2 linked regions of the Drosophila melanogaster genome follow. The protein of the gene in region 1 purifies or fractionates together with the protein of each later gene. This does not show direct contact. Each region holds a gene or a part of one and is shown in the gene's direction. Other genes may lie near its edges. The genes, in order: spas and atl.

Region 1 (11,483 bases):
TCTCCAACTGGTCGTTATAGCCAAAGCGCCGTAACACCGCCCAGGTTGTCTCGTTCCTTCCCCGCTGAATGAAAAGGCAGTGTAAGAAGAGGAAGCCCTTCAGGGTGACCGCATCGTTGTATATGCCATCGGGCACATTTTTCTGTATCACGGCCTTCACCTCATCAAGGATTTGCGGCTGGAGTGGTGTGTTGAAACAGCGTCGCTGGAATAAATTCAGCTCGTAATCGTTCAACAGATTGTCCCCGTCAATGTCGCAGATCTTGAAAATGCGCACCAGCGACTTCTTGCAGGCGGATGTGAGCTGAAAATGCGAAGTTTTATTAGAAGAGTACAAGCTGATTACCTATCGCAAAACCGCCAATTACGGCGCAATGATATAGTTGCGACCTATGATCCACTCCGGAAGCACTTACCTCCTGTTCTTCCATCATATACAGGGGAGAAGTCGGGTGCAGCACAGCCTTCTGGGCGTAGTAAAACATCTCGGAGATGTTGTGCAGCGACTTGGCAGAGCACTCCACGCAACTCTCAATCTCGGGGTAGTCTTCCATGATGGCCAGCACGCTGTCCATGGTGGAATACTCGATGAGGTCTATTTTGTTACCCACCAGAACGATTGGCTTCCGAATGGGCTCTCGTTGTGTGTCTCCTTCCGCCTCCGCTTCGGCATCACCCTCGCCGTCCAGGGAGGGATTGCACTTGGCCCGGACGAGCGGCAGCCAATGGGATGTGATCCGATCCAAAGTGTCGTCATCGTCCACGGCGTACACTATGCACACCACGTGCGCCTTGTTAATTTCGGCGGCCAGGGCATCCTCCGACTGCTCCACGGCCGAGAAGTCAACTATGCTGGTGGGCACCTGCTCGGGCGTCACGTTCGCCGGAATGGTAATCTCCTCAGCCCTAGGCGGAACCTCCTCCGGGTACTCCTCACTGACCAGAGACAGAATCAACGACGTCTTACCCACCCCGGCGTCGCCGACGAGCAGGATCCTAACATTCTTGCGCTGCGACGCCGTGTACTGTCCCATTCCGACTGCTCTCCAAGTGAGATATGCCGCTCCTGTGCTCGTGCTCTGCTGGTCAGAGATCGCTGGCGTTTAGGCCGAAATTCTAGGATTTTGTTATGCAAAAACGCAAAAAAAAACAACCCAGAGTGATGGGGATGGCAGTAGGTGTATCAAGGTCGATATATCGCAACCCAGCTACCAGGGCTGCCACACTAGGCGACCGCCAAATAATGCGATATTTTTCCCCAATTTTCCGGCAATTGTGTTTGAATTCTACGAATTTAACAAATCAAAACTATTATTTCGATCAGTTGCTTAAAATTGATCACGTAATTTAAATATTTCCATCCAAAAACATCGGATCCGAAACTGTCTGGTAACTTTATTGACAGCTGGATCTCTACGATATGACAAGTTAGCGTTTTTCCGCTAAATCAGCCAACCGTTAAGGATGTTGTAAAGGACACAAAATGTTTTCTGTTAAAAATATTCGTATAAACAAAAAGGAAATGATAAACAAGGCAATAAATCAAACTTACCTTCAATTACGAATGTCTCCATACTGCACTTCGGTGAAAGTCTCCCAAATTATATTTCATCCGTTACATTCCACCATTTAAACTTTGAAATTGCCTGTTTGTCTGACTTCACAACCTTGCCCGCTAGATTTGGTAATCGATAGTTGGTCAGCACTGGCTGGGACTCCAGAGCTTAGCTTCAATTTTCAACGTAGTGAGAGTTGTAAGTGCGGAAGAAAATCAGTACTCTCGGATATCAGCAAAATGAGCACTAGCTCAAACGACGTACAACAATAATATTCGAGATTTGTTTGTTTTTTTGTGCGGCATCGATACAAACGCGTGCCACGGCCAACCGATTTGGCTTACAAGGATAATTTCCCCGTGCAACTTTCACGGGGTTAGGGCAAGGAGAGCAGGGGGCCGGAGTGCTGGACGCGCAGACAGCGCGGAATCGATATCGATGGTACGCACTAAAAACCAGTCGTCCTCCTCCAGCGCCAGCAGCAGCAGCACCAAGTCACCAATAAAGTCCAGCAGCGGGGCAGGATCATCCGGCGGAGGACTCGGTGGTCGCCAGTCCACTCACCGCTCGTCGAGCGCCTCAAACGTTGCTGCCGTTGTTGCCGGCGGTTCATCTGCCGCCGGTGGAGGCTCCTCATCGAATCGCCGTAGTCCGGGCAGCTCACCCGACGGCGACGACGACACCACCACCACAGATGACCTGACCCCCACAACGTGCTCCCCACGCAGCGGCCACCACCATTCGTACGGCGGCTACTCGTCCTCTGTGCACAAACAGAACCTCTACGTCGTCTCGTTCCCCATAATCTTTCTTTTCAACGTTCTGCGCTCGCTGATTTATCAGCTGTTTTGTATTTTTCGCTACCTATACGGTGCGAGCACAAAGGTGATATACCGCCCGCACCGACGCGACTGTAATATTGAAATCGTGGTGCAGAATTCCTCCAAGGAGCAACAGCAGTCGTTGAACCATCCTTCGGAGCTGAACCGTGAAGGTGACGGACAGGAACAGCAGTTATCCAATCAGCCACAGCGTTTCAGGCCCATTCAACCGTTGGAGATGGCCGCCAATCGTCCGGGAGGAGGGTATTCACCTGGTCCCGGCGATCCATTGCTGGCCAAGCAGAAGCATCACCATCGACGCGCCTTCGAGTACATCTCCAAGGCGCTCAAAATTGATGAGGAGAACGAAGGTGAGTTTCGGCGACGGGGGTGGCAGCTCCAGTTCGAGTTCGAGTGCTCGAATGCTCAATGAGTCATCGCCCGCTGTCCGCTTTTGTTGTCTGTCGAGTGTGAGAATCAATAAGGCAAAACGCGCGCACAATGGATGCCCCAAATGTCAACAGGAGTAGGGTTGTCTGCCTTGATGGACTTTTATGGAGTGGAAGTTCTCCAAGCATGCGATTTTTAAATTCTAATGCATATAAGCGTACTCTTTGTCAAATTATTTATAAGAGGAAAGCGAGCTTGATTGAACATAATAGTTATAAAATAAACATAAAATAATATTATTCTATATATTCAGGTCACAAAGAGCTGGCAATTGAGCTCTACCGAAAAGGTATCAAGGAGCTAGAGGATGGCATAGCTGTCGATTGCTGGAGTGGACGTGGTGATGTGTGGGATCGGGCTCAGCGCCTGCACGACAAGATGCAGACAAACCTTTCGATGGCGCGGGATCGTCTCCATTTTCTAGGTAAGTGACCAGTCATATTTCCTATACCCCTAAAACATAGGATTTGTTTACCTCATTTTTTTTTTATTTCATTTTGCACGTTTTCCCCTGCTTTTTTGTTGTCCCCTCCGTTTTGTCCATATGCACATGTTCATCCGGTGCGCAGCTCTGCGTGAGCAGGATTTGCAAATGCAGCGCCTCTCCTTAAAGGAGAAGCAGAAAGAAGAGGCTCAAAGCAAGCCGCAGAAGACCAGGGAGCCCATGCTGGCAGGAATGACCAACGAACCAATGAAACTAAGGGTGCGCAGCAGTGGCTATGGGCCCAAGGCCACCACCAGTGCCCAACCCACTGGTAAGTTCCTCACCAGCTAACGCGCACCCAACAAGATCCTCACACGCCAGCGCAAAGCCACCATAAGCAGATCGATTAGTCAATCCCTATCACCTCACTTGGCACTTGATTTTCTTAGAATTTTTTATTTCGATTGGCCAAATTGTAAACTTGTAAAAGAGTATATTCTTCCGCATTATCCATCTCTGATTGTGCTAATTCGTTCACAGCATCTGGCCGCAAACTGACAATTGGATCCAAACGACCCGTCAACTTGGCCGTGGCCAACAAATCACAAACGCTGCCCCGCAACCTTGGCTCCAAAACATCTGTAGGCGCAGTCCAAAGGCAACCAGCCAAGACAGCTGCAACGCCTCCCGCCGTTCGGCGACAATTTGTGAGTATCTGATAAGTAAACTAAATTTGTTTTTACACATTTGGCAAATACTCAGAAATTAAAATACTAATTAAACTAAATTACTCATATTACAGTCTTCGGGGCGTAATACGCCGCCCCAGCGTTCGCGGACTCCCATAAACAACAACGGACCCAGTGGCAGTGGCGCCAGCACTCCGGTGGTTAGTGTGAAGGGAGTGGAACAGAAGCTGGTGCAACTTATACTCGACGAGATCGTCGAGGGTGGGGCCAAAGTGGAGTGGACTGACATTGCCGGTCAGGATGTGGCCAAGCAGGCTCTACAGGAAATGGTCATTCTACCCTCCGTCCGACCGGAACTCTTTACGGGTGAGTTGGTTATTCTGCGACTAGAACCGTCACCATAACCAATCTTCTTCCTTTTTAGGGCTTCGTGCACCGGCTAAGGGTTTATTGCTGTTTGGTCCTCCCGGAAATGGCAAGACACTGCTGGCCCGCGCCGTGGCTACTGAGTGTAGTGCCACCTTCCTGAACATTTCGGCTGCCTCGCTGACCAGCAAGTACGTGGGGGATGGCGAGAAACTGGTGAGGGCTCTCTTCGCCGTGGCCCGTCACATGCAGCCCTCCATTATTTTCATCGACGAGGTGGACTCGTTGCTTTCAGAGCGAAGCAGCAGCGAGCATGAAGCATCGCGTCGCCTAAAGACCGAGTTTCTAGTGGAGTTCGATGGGCTGCCTGGAAATCCAGACGGAGACAGGATCGTGGTGCTGGCCGCCACCAATCGACCGCAGGAATTGGACGAGGCAGCCCTGCGTCGGTTCACAAAGCGCGTTTACGTCTCACTGCCCGACGAGCAAACCCGCGAGCTGCTCCTCAATCGACTGCTCCAGAAGCAAGGCAGTCCGTTGGATACCGAGGCGTTGCGTCGCCTTGCAAAGATAACAGACGGATACTCGGGCTCCGACTTAACGGCACTGGCCAAGGACGCCGCATTGGAGCCCATTCGAGAGTTGAATGTGGAGCAAGTGAAGTGTCTGGACATCAGTGCAATGCGTGCAATCACAGAGCAGGACTTTCACAGTTCGCTCAAGCGCATCAGGCGCTCGGTGGCGCCGCAAAGCCTCAACTCATATGAGAAGTGGTCGCAAGATTATGGCGACATCACCATCTAGTCTGTTCTAGCCAATGATCCTGCCCTCCTTCATCAATCCAATTTGGAGAAGCTGTGATGTGAGTCTCAGAGCGCAACCCATTGTCGTTACACTAGTTTTGATTATGTGACCCATGTTTTTCGCCCTTAAGGTTCTATTCAATCCGTAGACTTTTCGTTTCACAAACATTGTTACATTTGTATTTACCTGTGAGTTATTTAATATGATTTGTTTCCCAGCTATTTCTGGTGTTTTAGCCTAAGAACATTGTATTGTATTTTTTCGTTGTTTAACCACCATGTCCATGTGGTGCAACATTTGCCATGCAGCTCCATTATCGTTATACTCATACTCATGGTATATATTTCTAAGATCTGTACTTTTCATTGGAGTTCTTAGAATAGTAGGTTTGCCCTATCTTCGTTTATGATAGTAATTCAAGGCCACATTGCTTTATAAATTAGTTTTTTGAAACATTCCGTAGTGATTTTTTGTAAGACAGGCGGCCCAAGGAGTTCACAACTACTTCCATTGTATCCTTGAACTATAAAGCATATTTTTGTTGTACATTGAGTGCCCATCCACAAGCTACATGTAATCTAGAAGTAAGCGTAGACCTAAGACCGATGATATACTTATACACACCCACAAAGATACATTTACCAGCGCAGAATCGTATTTAAGTTTTAATAGTTATCACTGTCCGTATGGTTAGTCTAGTTTAGTTCCTTTGTTTCAATCTATGTACCTACAGCCATAAATACAATCGTCTCCGATTCACCTATATTATTAGTAACACACCCAAAAATGTTGTACCTAGCAGGTGCGTATGGATCTGGTGTTATCAGATCGATCAGATACATCTTCACCCGCGCACATGCCCGTCGCTTATCGCGACACATTGAACCAGCTTCAACGCAGCTCGCCCACCCGGAATTTGAGTTCTTTGACTAGTTACTAAACACAGATACAAAAAAAAACTACATGCATATAAAACTATATATATAAAGAAATCTATAGAATACGCTAAATAAAATCGATTTCAAGAAACATCAATTGCATTCTTAATCATCAACAAAATTCTAAGCTATTGGAAACCATTGGTAGTGTATTGAGAATTGAGCAACGGCTGACATCACCAGGTGCATTTAAATTAAGAGAAAGTAAGCAGAAGAATTAAGCATTCATGAAAACTAGTTTCGCAGAAAAACTGCGTCTCACTAGAGAATATTAAAGCTATAAAATTCATTCATGTATGTATGTTATACCTTAAGAAAACTTTTTAGCACAATTGTAAAAGTTAATTACTTTTTAACTATATTTTAGACTCCGCTGAATCCTCCACCAGATTTGTAGTAGTAGTAACCACTTCTATCATCAATGATATAAATTAAAGTTTGAAATAATAATTCCACATCCTAATTCATTACCTCAATATAAAAACCAGCGTCCCTTCGTTTTCTCACTTGTTTTATATATTTTTTTGCTTCTTTATTTTACATTTTACATATTTATATCGCATTTCGTTTTCCACATTGGAAATATACAATATGTATGCTCGAATTTACATTCTCTTAGTGACTAAATTTGTTTTTCCTCTTGTTTTTGCATTCGGCTTGCTTGCTTGCGGCTATCCTTTCATCCCACTGAAACTACCCTCTTTCCGTCTTCAGTTTTCGTTGACACATGTTCCACATAGTTACAATTACAATTTGCTTTGTCACGTTTTTGTTTCGATTGTTTTCTTTTTGTTTTAACTCTGTCGCGCGTAATTAGCATTTTCTCTTTTCAGTTTTTATTTGTTTGTTTTTGTTGAATTTCTCATTCGGTTTATTTTATTTCCGTTTCGTTTATACGCCTATATCTGCTTAAATTAGAAATCATTAAATTAATTTAACACGTACTTAGATTGGATTAGATTGTTACAGCTACCCGCCCATCGCCCGGAGCTTTTCAATTGATGTTCTTTCAGTTGTCGCCGGCGTGGATCACTTGAAGTTGAGCTCCACGCACCGCCTTAACGTTCGACTTTGGGGGGCTATATACCACACCCGATTCCGCTTCCTTCCACCGCAGTCAGCCGCAACCGTAGCCACAACTTCAAAGTGGACACTCGCGCATCCTTAATAATCTCCAGATACATTGCCACCGTCAATGTGGCTGCTGCCGCTGGTCAACGGCATGGCCAGGAGCGGCTCCGACTTTGCTACTACTCGGTATTGTACGTAACCTAAACGTGCGTAATGCGCTTGCAACTGCTGCAGGTGCGGAAGCTGATGCAGCAGAGGTGGTTGTGGCTGCGGCTGGGGGCGACTTCCCGGATGCTGCAAACGGCGTCGAAGCTGGCGTCACATCTCAGCTCATTGGGTCTGGTATTGTGGCATCGCAGCACTGTACATCATTTGGGGGGCAAGTGATCCGTTCGCTGCAGCGGCCGCGGATGCTGCGGCAGCCGTCACACCGGGCACCACAGTTCCGGGCACGCCCCATGCTACATTCGGCGGCACCATGCGGTATCCAGCCGCTGAAAATTGTATGCAAGCTGTTTAAGCCAAGGTCACGATTATTCAGCAACTGAGAAAAGTAAACTTACGGACTCCTCCCGCTTGCTGAGCACTGGTAGGGTAGGCGTAGGGATAGTAGCCCTGCTGCATGTATTGCGTCTGCATCTGGGTTGTGGGATAAGTCTGCAGAAAAGCACAAAGTTAGGGTCAATCTTTAGGTCACTGCGTATTTAAAGAATACAACACTTACCGCAGGTGGATACCAGTAGCCCATCTGCTGGTACGCGTATGGATACTGCGCCGCAATCTGCTGGGGTGTCATCATTTGGCCGGGTATCGCCGCTCCTGTTGCGGCGGCGATCTGTTGCTGCGTCATCATCTGACCGGGCATACCCGCTCCAGCGGCAACCGCAGCATTGGCTGCCGCAACGGCGGCAACATTGGCAGAGGCTGCTGCCGCGGCAGCGGCGGCATTGAGGTTATTGGCCGAGTTATCGCCTCCGTTCTCTTTGCCCCAGAAGCACTTTACCAGGTTTCCATGTACCTCGCTGTTGTGCGTGTGCTCGATGGCGTGGGCGGCTGCCTCCTTGGTAACAAACTTGATGAACGAGAAGCCCTTGTCCTTGAAGACCCGCACGTCCTGGATGGGACCAAACTGGACGAAGTGCTTGTGCATCAGGTCGTCACTGATGACATTCGGCGGGAATCCGCCACAGTATACGGTGGTGTTGGTGGGGCTCGACTGGTTATACACTTCCTCGAAGGTGTGGCGTTGACTTCCCTTTACACCGGACCCATTGCCCGGTCCGCCACCCATTCCGCCTCCCTGGCCTCCGCCCTTGGAAGGCTCGCGTGGTGGTGGCAGCTTGCGCGTGGACCAGTTGGTGCGTATCGAGCGCGAGCCAATCCACTGGCCGTTCATCGCCTGGATGGCGTTCTCTGCCTCCGCCTTTTTCACAAACGACACGAAGGCGTAACCCTTTGACTTCATGGTGTGAGGGTCGCGCACAATGCGACAGTTGGAGATCTCTCCGAATGGGGCGAAAGCCTCGCGCAGTGTTTCTGTCTCAATCTCGGGACTGAGGTCGCCCACGAATATGTGGTGGTGCGAACTGATGTCTGTCTTCGGCTGATTGCCGGGACTGGTGGCCCAGTTGACCTGCGAAGAGCATTCGTTTAATAGGTAATAATCAATTAAGTTCTACATAATTAAAATAACATGAGGGCTTGGTCGTGGGGAATGTGTGTGTTGCAAGAGTGTAGTTTCGAACAAAATGAATGAAAATGACCGCTGTCCACTTGATAACTTAAGAGAAGCTAATCAGCTTACCTTGATTTCCTTTTCGAGGAATAGGCGTTTATTCATGGCGGTCAGAGCTGTTGTGGCTGCCTGGTAGTTGGAATATTCGATGAAGGCATATGGATCGTTGCCCGGTTCCCGAATGATTTTGCAGCTTTTGACGGGCCCCATGGTGCTGAAGAGGGCAATTAGCAGGTCCTCGGACACTGAGCTATCCAGGTTGCCCACGTATAGGGTCTTCGGTTGCGACTCGTCCATGGCTGTCGGATGTCACGGGACTGTGGCTTTTTTGATCTGATTATACACTAGGCTACAGCGACAATCTACTGACTCTACACTAAAACCGGAATTGCAACTACTGCACCTGGCCGCATTAATCGGAAGGGGATGTATCAAAAATTTGCAGATTAAGTTCCTAGCTACGTACAAAATCTAAAGTGTCTGCTAATTAAACAGGTGTATTTGCGGCAATCTAATTGGTGCTAGCTGCTAACAGGAAACTCCAAGAGAGATTTGAATACTTTGATTTTCTACTACTTTCGACTTACTCTCGGCTTGGCTTGATTTTTTTGGATTATATAAACTTTATATGCTCAATCTAGGTAGGTTGATCTATTTGCTTAACGCTGAGGTTCGTCGTTTATTGCTTTATTTTGTTCCTAATCTGGCGCCTAATTGAAAATTTCGTTAAACATCTATATGTATACGTATAAATATATCTGTCCTAACTAAACGCTAATGGAGTGTTTTGGAATATACGATTAGTCGCCTAATATATATGTCTATAATCGGTTGACTTCCTTTCCTGGGGGCCTGGGATTTGGATTCGGGGTTTCTTGGTGTACACTACTTGGTATTTCAGAATTGCTCGATCCTTCTTCGATGATCCGGATGTTGTTGTTGTGATTATAAATAGTTGTCCGTTCCAATATACAGGATTGTATAAATGTACATATGAATACTTGGTTGCGACTACTTATTCTTGCTCTTGTACAAAAATTAGTTAGCTAAGTTAAACAGCGTGAAAGTTCGCAGGCTGAGTGTACTTTTCGGGTTTCGAAGCTGACCCCTGGAATCGTTGCTGCTGTAAAAGAGAGAGGTAAATTTGGGTTAGTTTTGCGCTGATAACCGGAAGAGTGGGACAAGGTCTAATGGCACATGATCGGTGGGCCTTAAAACAGGCGCAAATGATATGGATATAAATCGACTACCCCGCCCCGCCCCCTTTTCGCATGATGGGAACAAAGAAGGCGGCAAAGCAGTGCAGGGACACGCACACACAGACGCACGCTCACACACACTGGCGCACACGAAAAACACGGGGAGAGTGAGTGAGCTATCTTCGGAGCGAGAGAGGCGGGTGGGAAAGGACAGGGGAAAGAGACTGCCTGTCTTTATAACAAAGCGAATGGCCAACAATTGACAATAGCCATTCATTCGCAACAAATTTGCGGGCCTTGCAAAATGATTTAGTTTATAATTAATATATTTCTGTATTCACATTTACAAATTTTTTTTTGGGCCACTCACGCACAGCACACAGAAATGCACACTCAGGCACGCCAGCGAGACGAGGGCGAAAGGAGAACGACGAAAATCGACTAGAAGATGAATGACCGTCGATAACAAAATGAGGAGAAAGAAAAACAGGGAAAAGGAAGAGAAAGATGTGGGAAATTTTGCGAAACCGGCGGGCGGGTGACACACACGGTTGCATTAGATTCGTGTTCTTCTTCTTCACACTTTGCGAAATCAAATTTTAATTTGCATAGAACTAAACTTGATTTTGATTATTTCTGCGGCGGCGGCGCTAGAAAATGTCAGTCAAAGTCACAGAACTGAAGAGACGGCGAAAAGGGAATGGCGGGGTGGTTTTGGTTGCTCATTTGCTGCTTATTTTCTTCGTCTCTTTTTCGCACACACACTGACACATTAGCACCGACACGCACACACACACACGCAGAGAGAGGCGTCTTGCGCTGGTCTTTTTGTTTGCGTTTTCCTCACATGAGTCTCCACTTTTCTTTTGCTTTTGCTTTTTTCCGCTTTTGGCTATTGAGTGTATTTAAACTAATGCCAATATACCAATACCAAGACGATTTGAATGCGGGACTTTTCATTTGCCTTTTCAGCTTGCCGCTATATGTACGTATATGTATGTATCTTGTTCGCTTTTGTGCTGCCATCTTTTAATGCCGCTCCCCCGCCACCAACAACCGCCACGCCTCCGCCCCGACCCTGCTGCCTGACAGCGGTGCCGAAAACTGGGCTTAACAATTATCGTCCCCGCCGCACTATAGTGCATTCGCTTAATGTCCATTGTTCAGACTCGAATTTCGCTGTCAAAATTCGCACTCTCTTCTTTTTTCTTTAATGCGCTCTCTGTGACGTGGCTGCGTTTGTAAATTTACCGCATTTTACTTGCTCTGCACTCTGTTCGCACACTTCATTTGACGGTCAAGTTTAGCCGCTACCGGTTTGTATTAATTTTGCGAAACTTTCAAAGTTGTTAGGGGCTGCAAATGTACGTTGAACGCGTCGCTAAAATTTTACCTTCGTCGTCTAAAATGCGAACTAATTAATGAGATTT
Region 2 (11,063 bases), 590 kb from region 1:
GTGAGCAAGGCGCTCAAATCGATTTTAGTTCCATATTGTTGTACGAGGTTTCATTGAATTGAAACAAGGCAGTTGAATAGCCTAAACAAATATTTTCCTTTTATTTATAAATTATGTAATAAACAAAATATGCTTTTAGTGCGATCAAACGATAACAAAACATTTTTGCATTTATCATTCCCTAAATTGGGTGGGTTACACATAAATTTGGGGACTTCACTTAATCGTAGTACCAGTCCAAGAAGAGCAGGGAGAACGACATGACCAGCAGGAAGAACAGCGACCACACGCGTAGTCCTGCATTTCGTTGAGTGGCCTGCCGGATTTGCTCGTTGGCGTCCTTGACGTTTTCCGTGGTGCCCACGACGGCACTAACTATCCTGTCGATATTGTGCTGTTGCATGGCGACCTACAAAAGGGAAAGGGAAATTTAAGAGGATTAAATGAGATTAGGACGTGGATCTATCTGGATCTAGTTAATAATTAATTGCATGCTAATAAGAGCCCGGCTTATACATCCATTGTAATCGCGAAGGATGTGGATTTTAGCGAAGCCAATTAATATTTTTAATTGAAGGATTAAGTCGACAAACATATGGGCAGCCACTTAAACCCACTAAGTATTCTTGGCAATATGGAGCAATATGTTCTCACCAAAATTAAACTAAAGATATCGTTGTTAAGAACAGCAAGGATTCCTTGGGACTTGTGTTATCATGCCATCTTACCTTTTCGGTGAAAATGTCCTGCAGTTGGGCAATGTCTACCACGTTCTTTTCGATCTGCTCCACCTCCTCGGAGACGCCCTGCAGAAAGTTGTAGATGTGTACGTTCTCCGCCTCGAAGAGCTGCACATCCTCGGCGCTTAGGGGATCGTCATCGTCGGCCTCCTGCTGCTGCTGGAGCTCCTCATCCAGAGCCATCTTGGAGGATGAGTTGTTCAGATCCGATCTGTTGGCTTTGCTTCGTTTGCGCGTACGCGGTTTGTGTTGATTGGCCTGATTGGCTTCCTTGCCCTTCTCGCCATCGTGATCGTCCACCTCGTCGCCTTCCTCGTCTTCATCCCAGTCGCCCCAGGCGTCGTTATTCCAGTCATTGTCGGCGGACTCGTCGTGGTTGCCATTTGCTTGTGAAGATGACTTCGTGGCTTCGCTGTCATCGTTGCTGACCTGGCGCCTGCCCAGCTTGCCACTGTTGCTGCCCGCCGGACGCACTGGTATCTTCTTTTTGTCCGCCGCCAGCTTGAGCAGCCTATAGGTTTCCAGTTCGTGTTGCACACGGTACTTCTTTTGGTCCAGATAGATCTGTTCCACGCTGTGCAAATAGCTGACCAGCAGGTCCAGCACGGCGTCGATGTGCTGACGCTCCTGCGGCTTCCGCTTGGCGCTCTTCCAATCGCTGCGCATCTTGGCCAGGTGCTGCGTGTAAAAGGTGACGAACTTCTCCGACTCGCGATCAATCAGATCCCGCTGCGCGTCGGTCATGTGTGCGGCGGACTTGAGGTGCTGGCCAATGCGCATGTAGGCGGTGCGGTTCTCGATCAGCACATTGCGCAGCGAAGTGATCTTGTTGCACACCTCCTTGGCCTGCTTGGCGAAGTCATCCTTTGGGCCAATTGGTCCAGTTTTTGTCGGCACTGTGGCGGGCTTGGCCTTTCCGGCCAGCTCGGCCTTGCGCTGCAGGCGCACCGTCATTACGCTGGCCTTGAAGCTCTGGGTGATGTCCATAGCTATTTGCTATAACTAAGTTTGAAATATTTAACTTTTAAATCCACATCATCGGTCCAACACAATGTGGCCGTTCGTTTAACCGTTTGCAGTGTGACCTTATGATGACCGTTAATATATACCAGTTAGCTAATACTAAAAATAGCTAAATGTTATCGATAAGCATTTCAGTGTTGGCTAATGAATTTTCACCCCCACACTTATAGGTGATTTTTCGCCCAACGGTGTACGGTCACACCATTGGCAGAGCACAAACAAAATACGTACTTTTCTGCTTCCAAAGTGTCGAAAAATCGCAGCGCAGTGAAGTCCAGTGTCCGATGTAAATGGTTAAGTAAAGTGAGTAACAAAGGCCGACACAGAAGCCGCATTATTTGCGCAGTTAGCCGACCATTTGGTAGTGTGCGTGAGTGGCTCCGTCGCAGTGCGTTGGTGTGCGTGTGTGAGCAACCAGTTTCCTTGGATTCCTCATAATCTCCATGTGTGTATATGTAACAAAAACAATAACAATTTAACCAGGCGAATGCAAAACACTCGCAAAGTTGGCCAATACCGGATGAACCTCATCATCATCATCATCTTCCACATATTCATGAGCATGGTCGGCAGTCGAAGCCCCTGAATTCCGATAGCAGCCATTCAGCTCGATTTATTAATAATAATTGCCCATTTGCTCGGAATGTATACACATTTCAGTGACTTCAATTGTTCGTCGTCATTTCACCTTGAATTGCGGGCAAGGTAAGCGTCCAAAAGTCGCTATGGATATCGTTGCGCTTCATTTACCGTATTTACCATATACTCTATAAGAAAGTCGCTCTAAATTCCGGGTGAGCCATGTGCTTTGGGTTTTTTGGTGGATCCAATAGTTACACGTCGACAAGAGAAACAATGGCTTATCTTCTTTGGGAAGGATCCCGAGATAAGCTTGTACATAGTGAGAAATTTTAAGTACTGATAACGAATTTTGAACATTTCATTTGAAAAGTGCATATCGGAAGAATATACACAGATTTAGATTTTTTTTTTTTTTTTGCTATGTAGCTTCATTATAAGATGATTGTCCAAACCAATGGAATATACATACATAAAGTGCCCTACTATTTCGGATGACTAATAATGCATGTAACCGCATCTAGGCTGCTGCCAACAATTTCCCTAATTAATTCTTAAACAACATAACAAACAATAGATGCAATGCAAGACCTTTAAACTGATTAATCGTCAATTTTGATCCACTCACACTTAAGCAACACCGCCGTTTATTTTCTATTATTAATTGCTGCTCGCCAGCGATCAAAGTTTCGCATTCGCGGCTCTCTCCCTTGGTTTTTTTTTTGCTTTTAGTTTTCGCTTTTGTCTGGTTTGTGCAACATCAGCGATCGGCGGGGGAATCACAGTCGCTGGTCTGTTGGTAGATCCATTCGCTATGGATCCCTCAATTTATTACACAATTTTGGGGGCCAGACTGTCAGTAGTCTTTTATCTATCGCGCTCTCCATCGAGCACGTTCGCTTGAACTTTGTTTCGCGTGGGGGAAAGTCGATTCCTTTCTTTCGGGTTGTAGATAAGCAATTAACTACCTTATAGATCTGATAAGCTCTGGCATAGAACACTCTTTTATTTGTAGGAAGTTTGTGCGTATTAACAATAAACATCGAATTGTGTTTCATAAATGCTCACTTCTAATATTATATGGATAATAACAATTTATGAGCTTTATTAAATCAATGTGTAAATTCTAAAACAAATTATTTTCTCTTCAGAACACTGAAAGTGAACTCATCTAAAATCGAAATGAAGTGATGTTTTCTCTTAGCAGCAGTGACTCAGAACCGAAATCTACTCTATGCGAATGTGGTCTCTCGCTGACTAAAGCTAATTATACTATTCGGCTGCACCTCAGCCCATCGTAGCAACGGCTTCCAGTTGCGGCAGGTACGGAGGCAGGGTGTCTAGTCCGCCGGCCACTCGATCAAAGCTGAGGGCATGACGCGGTGAGGTCATCAGCTGACGTACTCCGAAGGCCACGTCCTCACAGCTGCTCCGCTCGCTCGGCTCCAGCTGCCAGCAGTTGAGCAGCAGCTGGTAGAGATCCCCGTAGACGTAGGCTGGCTGCGCCGGACGCACTGCAGCCCGAATGGCCTCTAGAAGCTGTTGGTTACTTGCCACTGCATTGGCATAGGGAGTACCGCCAAGGGCACAGCATTCCCACGCCACGCAGGCCAGGGACCAGACATCAGAACGGGTGGAATGGTGATGCTGATGGCGCAGCACCTCCGGGGCCAGCCACCGGTTGTGGTCTGGCTGCTGGCGAGCAATGTTCATGTAGGGCAGCGGTCCAAAGACGCTCAGTTTTAGCTTGAAATCGCTGGTAACGAAGACGCTGTGCGAGCAGAGCTGTCGATGCACCACCTGGCAGCTGGATAGATAATTCATGGCACTGGCAAGCTCGTAGATCCACTGCAGCACTAGCTGCTCAGAGAGGGAAGTCAAGCGTGGCGACGGTGCCATCAGGCGACTCTCCACCAGTTTTCTCTTTAGACTCATGCGTTGCTGCTCGAAGATTAGGTAGAACCAATCGGGACTTGCTGATACTCCATAGAAATCTAGCAAATGCTCCTGGCGCTTCAATTGAGACAACTGACGTAGTTCTCTCAGCAACTGTGCCTGTGTAGTACCATTCAGATCGTCCAGACAGAGCACGTGCAGGGTGCAATCTCTGGCAAAATCGTTTGTGGAAACCTTTCCGGTTATAATCTCACCAAAGCGTCCGTCTCCGATCACATCGTTCACATTTAGTCGTAGTGCATTCCTTGGTATCCGTTCGTATCCTTCCACCAACTGTTGCAACTGCTGCTTGAAGTTTTCCGGCGAGTGTGGCAGTGGATCGTCCTCCACAAGGTATCCGTTATTTTCCCGCTCGATTATGGGCGTTTGCAGCGTCATCTCGTGCGTATTGCCACCAGTCAATCGTCGCCCGCGGCAGGTCTTGTAGCGCAGATAGAAGTAGGCAATAAGACTGAGCAGGAGGCAGGAGCCGAAGATCACACAGGTGACAGCTAGGGCAACCACCGAGGATTGACCCTTCTCAAAGGTGGCGTAACTAAAGTCGTCTAGGGATGTCACATGCTGGTCGTGAGTTCCACGACTGTACATCGTCTTGGTAACGCCCTCCAGTGTGCTCACCTAGAATATAAATAGTTACAGAGATATTCATTCGAATTTAATGCATTACTCACCAATCCGAGACTGATGTGGACATGTGCATCTGGTTGATCCAACGGCTTATTGGTAAATCGTCCGTAACGCTTGCCATCGCCGACCACAAAGCGCCGGGTGCGATTGTCCTCCGGTCGATCGTAGTCCAATTCGGCGGCTATGTAGTAGGGCACTCCATCTTGTTGAGCCTGCTGCCAGCTGCCCAGGAGCTGGGCATCGAATGGCTGACTCAGGGCGTTGTCCACGTATTCCACGATGACGAGCAGTTTGCTCAGCGGTCCATTGTCATTCCGAATGGGCGACAACTCGATGGTTACAGTGCGGTCAGTCCGGCTGAGGATTTTCGGCTGTGCTGGCACGGGACTTGGAAGGCCCACCTGAAATTTGGAGTAGTAATGTTATTGGTTAGGATTCTCGTTAGAATTCAAGCATTACCAACCTCCGTGGTGGCTTCTATCGAGGCCTGTCCGCATTCAGATTGACCTACTTGGGCATCCTTGCACATGGCTCTCACGGATATGTTGTACAGCGTGGCGGGATGCAAGTCTGTGAGTTCAAACTGCGTTTCCGTGCTCTGCACCATAAACTCAGGCTGCGGGAAGGCGGGCAACGAGGAGTAGGTCTTCAGGACCTGAGCTTTGATCAGGAAGTTGTCCAGTAGCTGGTTGGGAAGCACTGCCTCCGCGCCGCCGGCCAGGAGTAGTTTCCTCGCCTCGTACGCATTCCAGCTAAGGGTCAGGCTGTTCTCCGTTTTGTTCGAGATTCTTAGATGATGCGGACCCGGTTGTTTGGTCAGTATGGTGGAGTAGTACGAGTGCACACCAACTCCGCCACAATACTGCGCTTTGTTGGCCAGGCAGCGAGTGTTGCAGAGCTGTTCATCCTGTTGCTCCTGCGGCTCCAGGACATTTGCACAGAAGCACTTCTCGGAGGCCAGCACGGCATAGTGGTGACCCTGATGCTCGCAGATCTCGATGCAGGTCTGCGGTGTCTTGGCGTACACCGATTCATGGAGAAGATCCGTTCGTGCCGTGTAGCAACCAACGTAGTAGTAGGCAGGTGCTTCCTGGGGGACAGCTGCTCCTAGCGGAAGGCCCAAGCACATGGCCACGAGGCAGCTCGAAAGCCAAATCGGAATTGGGCGGTGTCCGCTGTGTGAACCGCATTCCATGGCTTGCAAATCTCGAATGAGCAGCTAAGCTCCTGCACGCCGGATGACTGATATCCGCCTGGGCTTTCTGTTGCTTCTTTGGGGGCTAGGACTGCCAATTAAACACTTTTCACGGGCAGCCAATTTAGGCAAATTAAAAACTTTTATTCTTTTTCCCCGCTCAACATTTTCCAAGCGCTTCTGCTGCTGCTTCTTCTTCCACTGCCGTTGTTGTTGCTCTCGGCAACCGTGTTTCCATTTCCAGTTGACTAATCGCTCTGCCGACGTCGACGCAGGCCGCACAACTGTTGCTGTTACTCTCCAACACCTTTGTTTACATCGCCCGCTAGTTGCAAAAGCTGCAAGTGTAAGTGGGACAACTGGTGTGTTGCGAAGATCGTCCGTATCTGGCGGCACCGCTCACACACCTGCTGGACAAGCCTGGTTCCAAACGGCATTGCCAGATGTGATTGTTATTTTGAATTTTAAATTCCCATTCAGCGCGCCAAAGTCTCGGACAACAGTTGGTCTTAATTAAGTGGCAATGTGTTAATTGGACAGACGCGATTTTGCTAACGTTGCAGCTGCCGCCGGACCAATTGCATTACCCACCTCCCTTCCACCACGGTGTCTATTCCTATTTTGCCATGTGGCGACGGCAAATGAGAGTTGATCGGAAAAGAGAGAGTACCGCTTCGCTCTCTTTTTGAGGTAGCCGATTCATTGGTGACTTGCGTGTTGTGCTTGCAGTTTGATTTGGTTGACGGTCGCGCTGGTCGTGTATTTATATTCATATTCCCATTCCGCATCCGAATCGGACTCAATTAGACGCAAGCATAACTTTTATGTGGCCTGTATAATCGGGAGTGTGGCATAATTCCCCACCGATCTCTTGTCTTAATGTGGTATGTTCTTCACTTGTTTTGGCTGCGTTTCTAATTAGAATTCAAGTGGTCAAACTGCGTAGCGCGACAAAAGTTGTCGACGTCATCACAACGCAGCTAACGAAATTAATTTTAATGTGTTCCCTTCCTACGGCTTACATACGAACAGTCAACTGTGCTGAATTCGTTTAACCCGATTTGGAAACCCTTTGAGTACACATTCGCCATTTGGTGTGATAAAACCCAAAAGGAACAAATGAATAAGTGATCGTGTTGCAAAAAAACAACACATCAATCAAGAACTTTAATAAGGTCAATAAAATCACCGAAAGACCGGTTTCCGATGAATTTCTTTCCAAGTTATTTTGAGTATCTGAAATAATTGAATATGTTTTCTCCATATGGGCTGTAAAATACACCGTGAAATCTGTTTTAATGTTGAAAGTTTAGTCAGTAGTAGTAGTAATAAACCGGTTTTCTTATCATTTAGTAGCCGTAGTTTCTAAAGTGACAATCAAAACCATATGCCTTTAAATTGTATACTTGTGTCTTCAGCCGAATCTGTTTAGTTTGTTCCTAAAAACAGTTGATTTTATAAGCAACAACTATAGTTTGAAAACCAGATTGCCATATGCTAATTGAATGGTAAGGTTGTATCTAAACATTGATTACTGATTGATTACACATCTACCAAGTACCATTCCTCGGATAGATTGGTACATACATACATATGTACATATATCCCACGCACCTGAACAATCCGCTTACATAGTGCCCCACTGCCCCTTCGGTTGACGTTGACATCTTCTGCGATCGGGGAGCAGCGCATGTTTGGGTTTATTTTTGGCCACCTCTCATAATTGCAGGCCTTTCTGTCCGTCGCTCGTGTCTCGTGGCTGTGCCAAATTTAAATGAACTCACGGCGCAGAGGCTTGCGCAATTAAATGTTGGCCTAGACTCGCAAATTTTCCCTTTGCCGGAAATGGAAAAATCGCTGAAAAACAGAGCAGACATTTTCTCCATACTTATCTAGCTGTCTGTTTATGCTTGCAGTTGACAGGTCGAAATCCAAAAGATTAATAAGAAAGAATTTCCCAACGGAGGCAAAAATAGCCGGTAAAACAGAGACAGCAAACGGAATAGCAGACAAGGATTCCAAACACCATAATGGGCGGATCGGCAGTGCAGGTGATCAACGCCTCCGAGGAGCACACATTTGTGCTCAACGAGGATGCGCTGAGTGAGGTCCTAATGCGGGATGAGGTCAAGGATCGGTTCGTCTGCGTTGTCTCCGTGGCTGGAGCCTTCCGAAAGGGCAAGAGCTTCCTGCTGGACTTTTTTCTGCGCTATATGTATTCAAAGGTGAGTCTTGAAATTGCTGCCACTGCAAGCATCTTCCATTTACCACACTCTTTTGAACATTTTAGTATGTGCATCACGATGCGACAGACTGGCTGGGAGGCGAATCAGATCCGCTGGAGGGTTTCTCCTGGCGCGGCGGATCTGAGCGCGACACCACCGGCATTCTCATGTGGTCCGACATATTCCTGCACGACTATCCCAACGGCGACAAGATAGCCATCATTCTGCTGGACACACAGGGCGCCTTCGACAGCCAGAGCACGGTGCGCGATTGTGCCACCGTTTTTGCGTTGAGCACAATGCTGTCCTCGGTGCAGATATACAACCTGTCACAGAACATCCAGGAGGACGACCTGCAGCACCTGCAGCTCTTCACTGAGTATGGTCGCCTCGCGCTGGCCGACACCGGCAAAAAGCCGTTCCAGCGTCTGCAGTTCCTCGTCCGGGACTGGAGCTTTCCCTACGAGGCGGAATATGGTGCACTGGGCGGGGATAAGATTCTGAAACGACGTCTGGAGGTGTCCGACAAACAGCACCCAGAACTACAGTCCCTGCGTCGCCACATTTCGTCCTGTTTCACGGAGGTGGCCTGCTTCCTGATGCCCCATCCAGGTCTCAATGTGGCCACCAATCCTAAATTTGACGGTCGGCTGCAGGACATCACGCCCGAGTTTAAGAGTAGCCTGCGCTCCCTGGTGCCCATGCTGCTGGCACCGGACAACCTTGTCTACAAGGAGATCAGCGGACAGCGGGTGCGGGCCCGCGATCTCATCCAGTACTTCCAATCGTACATGAACATCTACAAGGGCAACGAGCTGCCCGAGCCGAAGAGCATGCTGGTGGCCACCGCAGAGGCTAACCATTTGACTGCCGTGGCCGCCGCCAAGGAGCTGTACGGACAGCTCATGGAGGAGGTGTGCGGTGGAACGCGGCCGTACTTAAGCACCGCCCATCTCCAGACGGAGCACCTGCGGGTGAAGGACAAGGCACTGTTCCAGTTCGCCGCCAAGCGCAAGATGGGTGGTGAGGAGTTCACCGAGAAATTCCGCAAGCAACTGGAAGATGATCTTGAGGAGGTCTTCACCAACTACCAAGCACACAACGAGAGCAAGAACATCTTTAAGGCAGCACGGACACCGGCGGTGTACTTCGCCTGCGCCGTCATCATGTACATCCTTAGCGGCATCTTTGGATTGGTGGGTCTCTATACGTTCGCCAACTTCTGCAACCTGGTTATGGGTGTGGCGCTTCTAACGCTGGCTCTGTGGGCCTACATTAGGTAGGTTGATTTAGCTTGAGCTTTTGATGATAATTTTGCCAACGATGTTTTATCAATTCCAGATATAGCGGAGAGCTCAGCGACTTTGGCGGCAAGTTGGATGACTTTGCAACGCTATTGTGGGAGAAAGTAAGTAGCTGGGAATCTAGCGAAGATGTTCGTGTACTAACCTACGCTATGCTTGCAGTTCATGCGACCCATCTATCACGGCTGCATGGAGAAGGGCATCCACCATGTTGCCACTCATGCGACCGAAATGGCTGTCGGCGGAGGCGCAGCCTCCTACCGCTCCCAGACCTCGGTGAATGCGTCCAATGGCAAGGTGAAGCGGTCATGAGAATACGCCCAAGGAGCGCAGCACAAAACGCAGCAGCCGGTGCCGTCGCAGCCGCCGTCGGCAAGAACCAATAACAACAACAATAATAATAACAACAACAACAATGTGGCATACAAATCAAACAGGAGCAACAACATTAACGAGGCCGACGGTTTCATTCACAACATCTGGCGCAAGTTCGGCGGCAGCAACGAAGAGAAGGGCCAAGTCAGCACCCAAAGTCCAGCGACCCCGTCCTCTTCCTCCCAGGCGCCAAATAGTCGCAAGAAGCGCAAAGCGAAGCGCAATTAGGTGTCCATGGACCAAGTAGAATGGTTCGATTTTCGAAAGGACGACTCCCCCTCTAATTTGTATAAATCTAAACCCTTCTATAGTGCGTGAGAACCGGAAACACAAACGTCTAGCTATTAATTGCCCTTAAAGGAAGTTGTTTTTATATTGCATTAATTGAAGTGTAGATGGTCTATATTACGTATATTTAAGAGTAAGTGCATCATTAGTAAGTGGCTCGTGTCTGTTGAAAAGTGAAATTTTAAATTGTTTTTTTACAAACGATATGCGTCTGAAACGGATATATGAAATTTAACGCTGTAATATAAAGAAATCGCTAACGAATTTAATTTGTTTAATTTCCATCCAAGGCGTACTCCCCCCACCTACCCGCCTCCTTTTCCATCTTATCTCATCTTTGGTATAGAATTCCATAAGCAATCTATGTATAAACAGAGTGCACATTGTTGTTGGCTGGTTTGCTAAGCGCCTCATTTTGCCACCTTTTGTTATTTAAAATTATAAAAAAAACAAAAAAACACGAAGAAAATAAAATAGAAGTCATTGCCACCCATTAAAGTTCAACGCGAAGGAGCAATGCTGGTATAGGTCATTAGTTTATCTTGTGCAGTAAAATTTATAGAACTCTTGGTTTTGTTTCGATTAAACAATAAATGTATTTAATGATAACAGCTCACTAGCAGTTATGGCCATCGAAAAATAAATGGAAAAAACGTATTTTTTTTTTCCAATACTGACATCAATGGGGGGTTGGGCTTTTACTTCTTTGAGCCACAGCAACTTGACTTGGCATCGCCGCCCGCTGTGTCGC

Evidence for each region.
Region 2: the proteins of spas (region 1) and atl purify together in Drosophila melanogaster (affinity purification with western blotting, with the first as the bait; one study listed by BioGRID). This does not show direct contact.

What each region holds. Positions count from the first base shown.
Region 1 is NT_033777.3:24,036,515-24,047,997, forward strand, and holds spas (spastin), read left to right. Parts: upstream 1-1,700; 5' UTR 1,701-1,994; coding exon 1,995-2,748; intron 2,749-3,080; coding exon 3,081-3,251; intron 3,252-3,396; coding exon 3,397-3,582; intron 3,583-3,791; coding exon 3,792-3,958; intron 3,959-4,053; coding exon 4,054-4,306; intron 4,307-4,364; coding exon 4,365-5,110; 3' UTR 5,111-6,140; downstream 6,141-11,483. Other genes in the region: Miro (mitochondrial Rho), read right to left, coding at 1-304, 417-1,034; Rox8, read right to left, coding at 7,450-7,631, 7,683-7,776, 7,844-8,752, 8,924-9,151. UniProt on the Drosophila melanogaster protein: ATP-dependent microtubule severing protein. Stimulates microtubule minus-end depolymerization and poleward microtubule flux in the mitotic spindle. Regulates microtubule stability in the neuromuscular junction synapse.
Region 2 is NT_033777.3:24,623,747-24,634,809, forward strand, and holds atl (atlastin), read left to right. Parts: upstream 1-1,924; 5' UTR 1,925-2,066; intron 2,067-3,319; exon of another isoform or gene 3,320-3,629; coding exon of another isoform or gene 3,630-4,916; intron 4,917-4,969; coding exon of another isoform or gene 4,970-5,326; intron 5,327-5,388; coding exon of another isoform or gene 5,389-6,120; exon of another isoform or gene 6,121-6,329; intron 6,330-6,544; exon of another isoform or gene 6,545-7,004; intron 7,005-8,036; 5' UTR 8,037-8,150; coding exon 8,151-8,345; intron 8,346-8,410; coding exon 8,411-9,624; intron 9,625-9,686; coding exon 9,687-9,753; intron 9,754-9,811; coding exon 9,812-9,961; 3' UTR 9,962-10,968; downstream 10,969-11,063. Other genes in the region: Syx18 (syntaxin 18), read right to left, coding at 221-409, 729-1,727; wsck, read right to left, coding at 3,630-4,916, 4,970-5,326, 5,389-6,120; MtnF (metallothionein F), read right to left, coding at 11,011-11,063. UniProt on the Drosophila melanogaster protein: Membrane-anchored GTPase that mediates the GTP-dependent fusion of endoplasmic reticulum (ER) membranes, maintaining the continuous ER network. It facilitates the formation of three-way junctions where ER tubules intersect.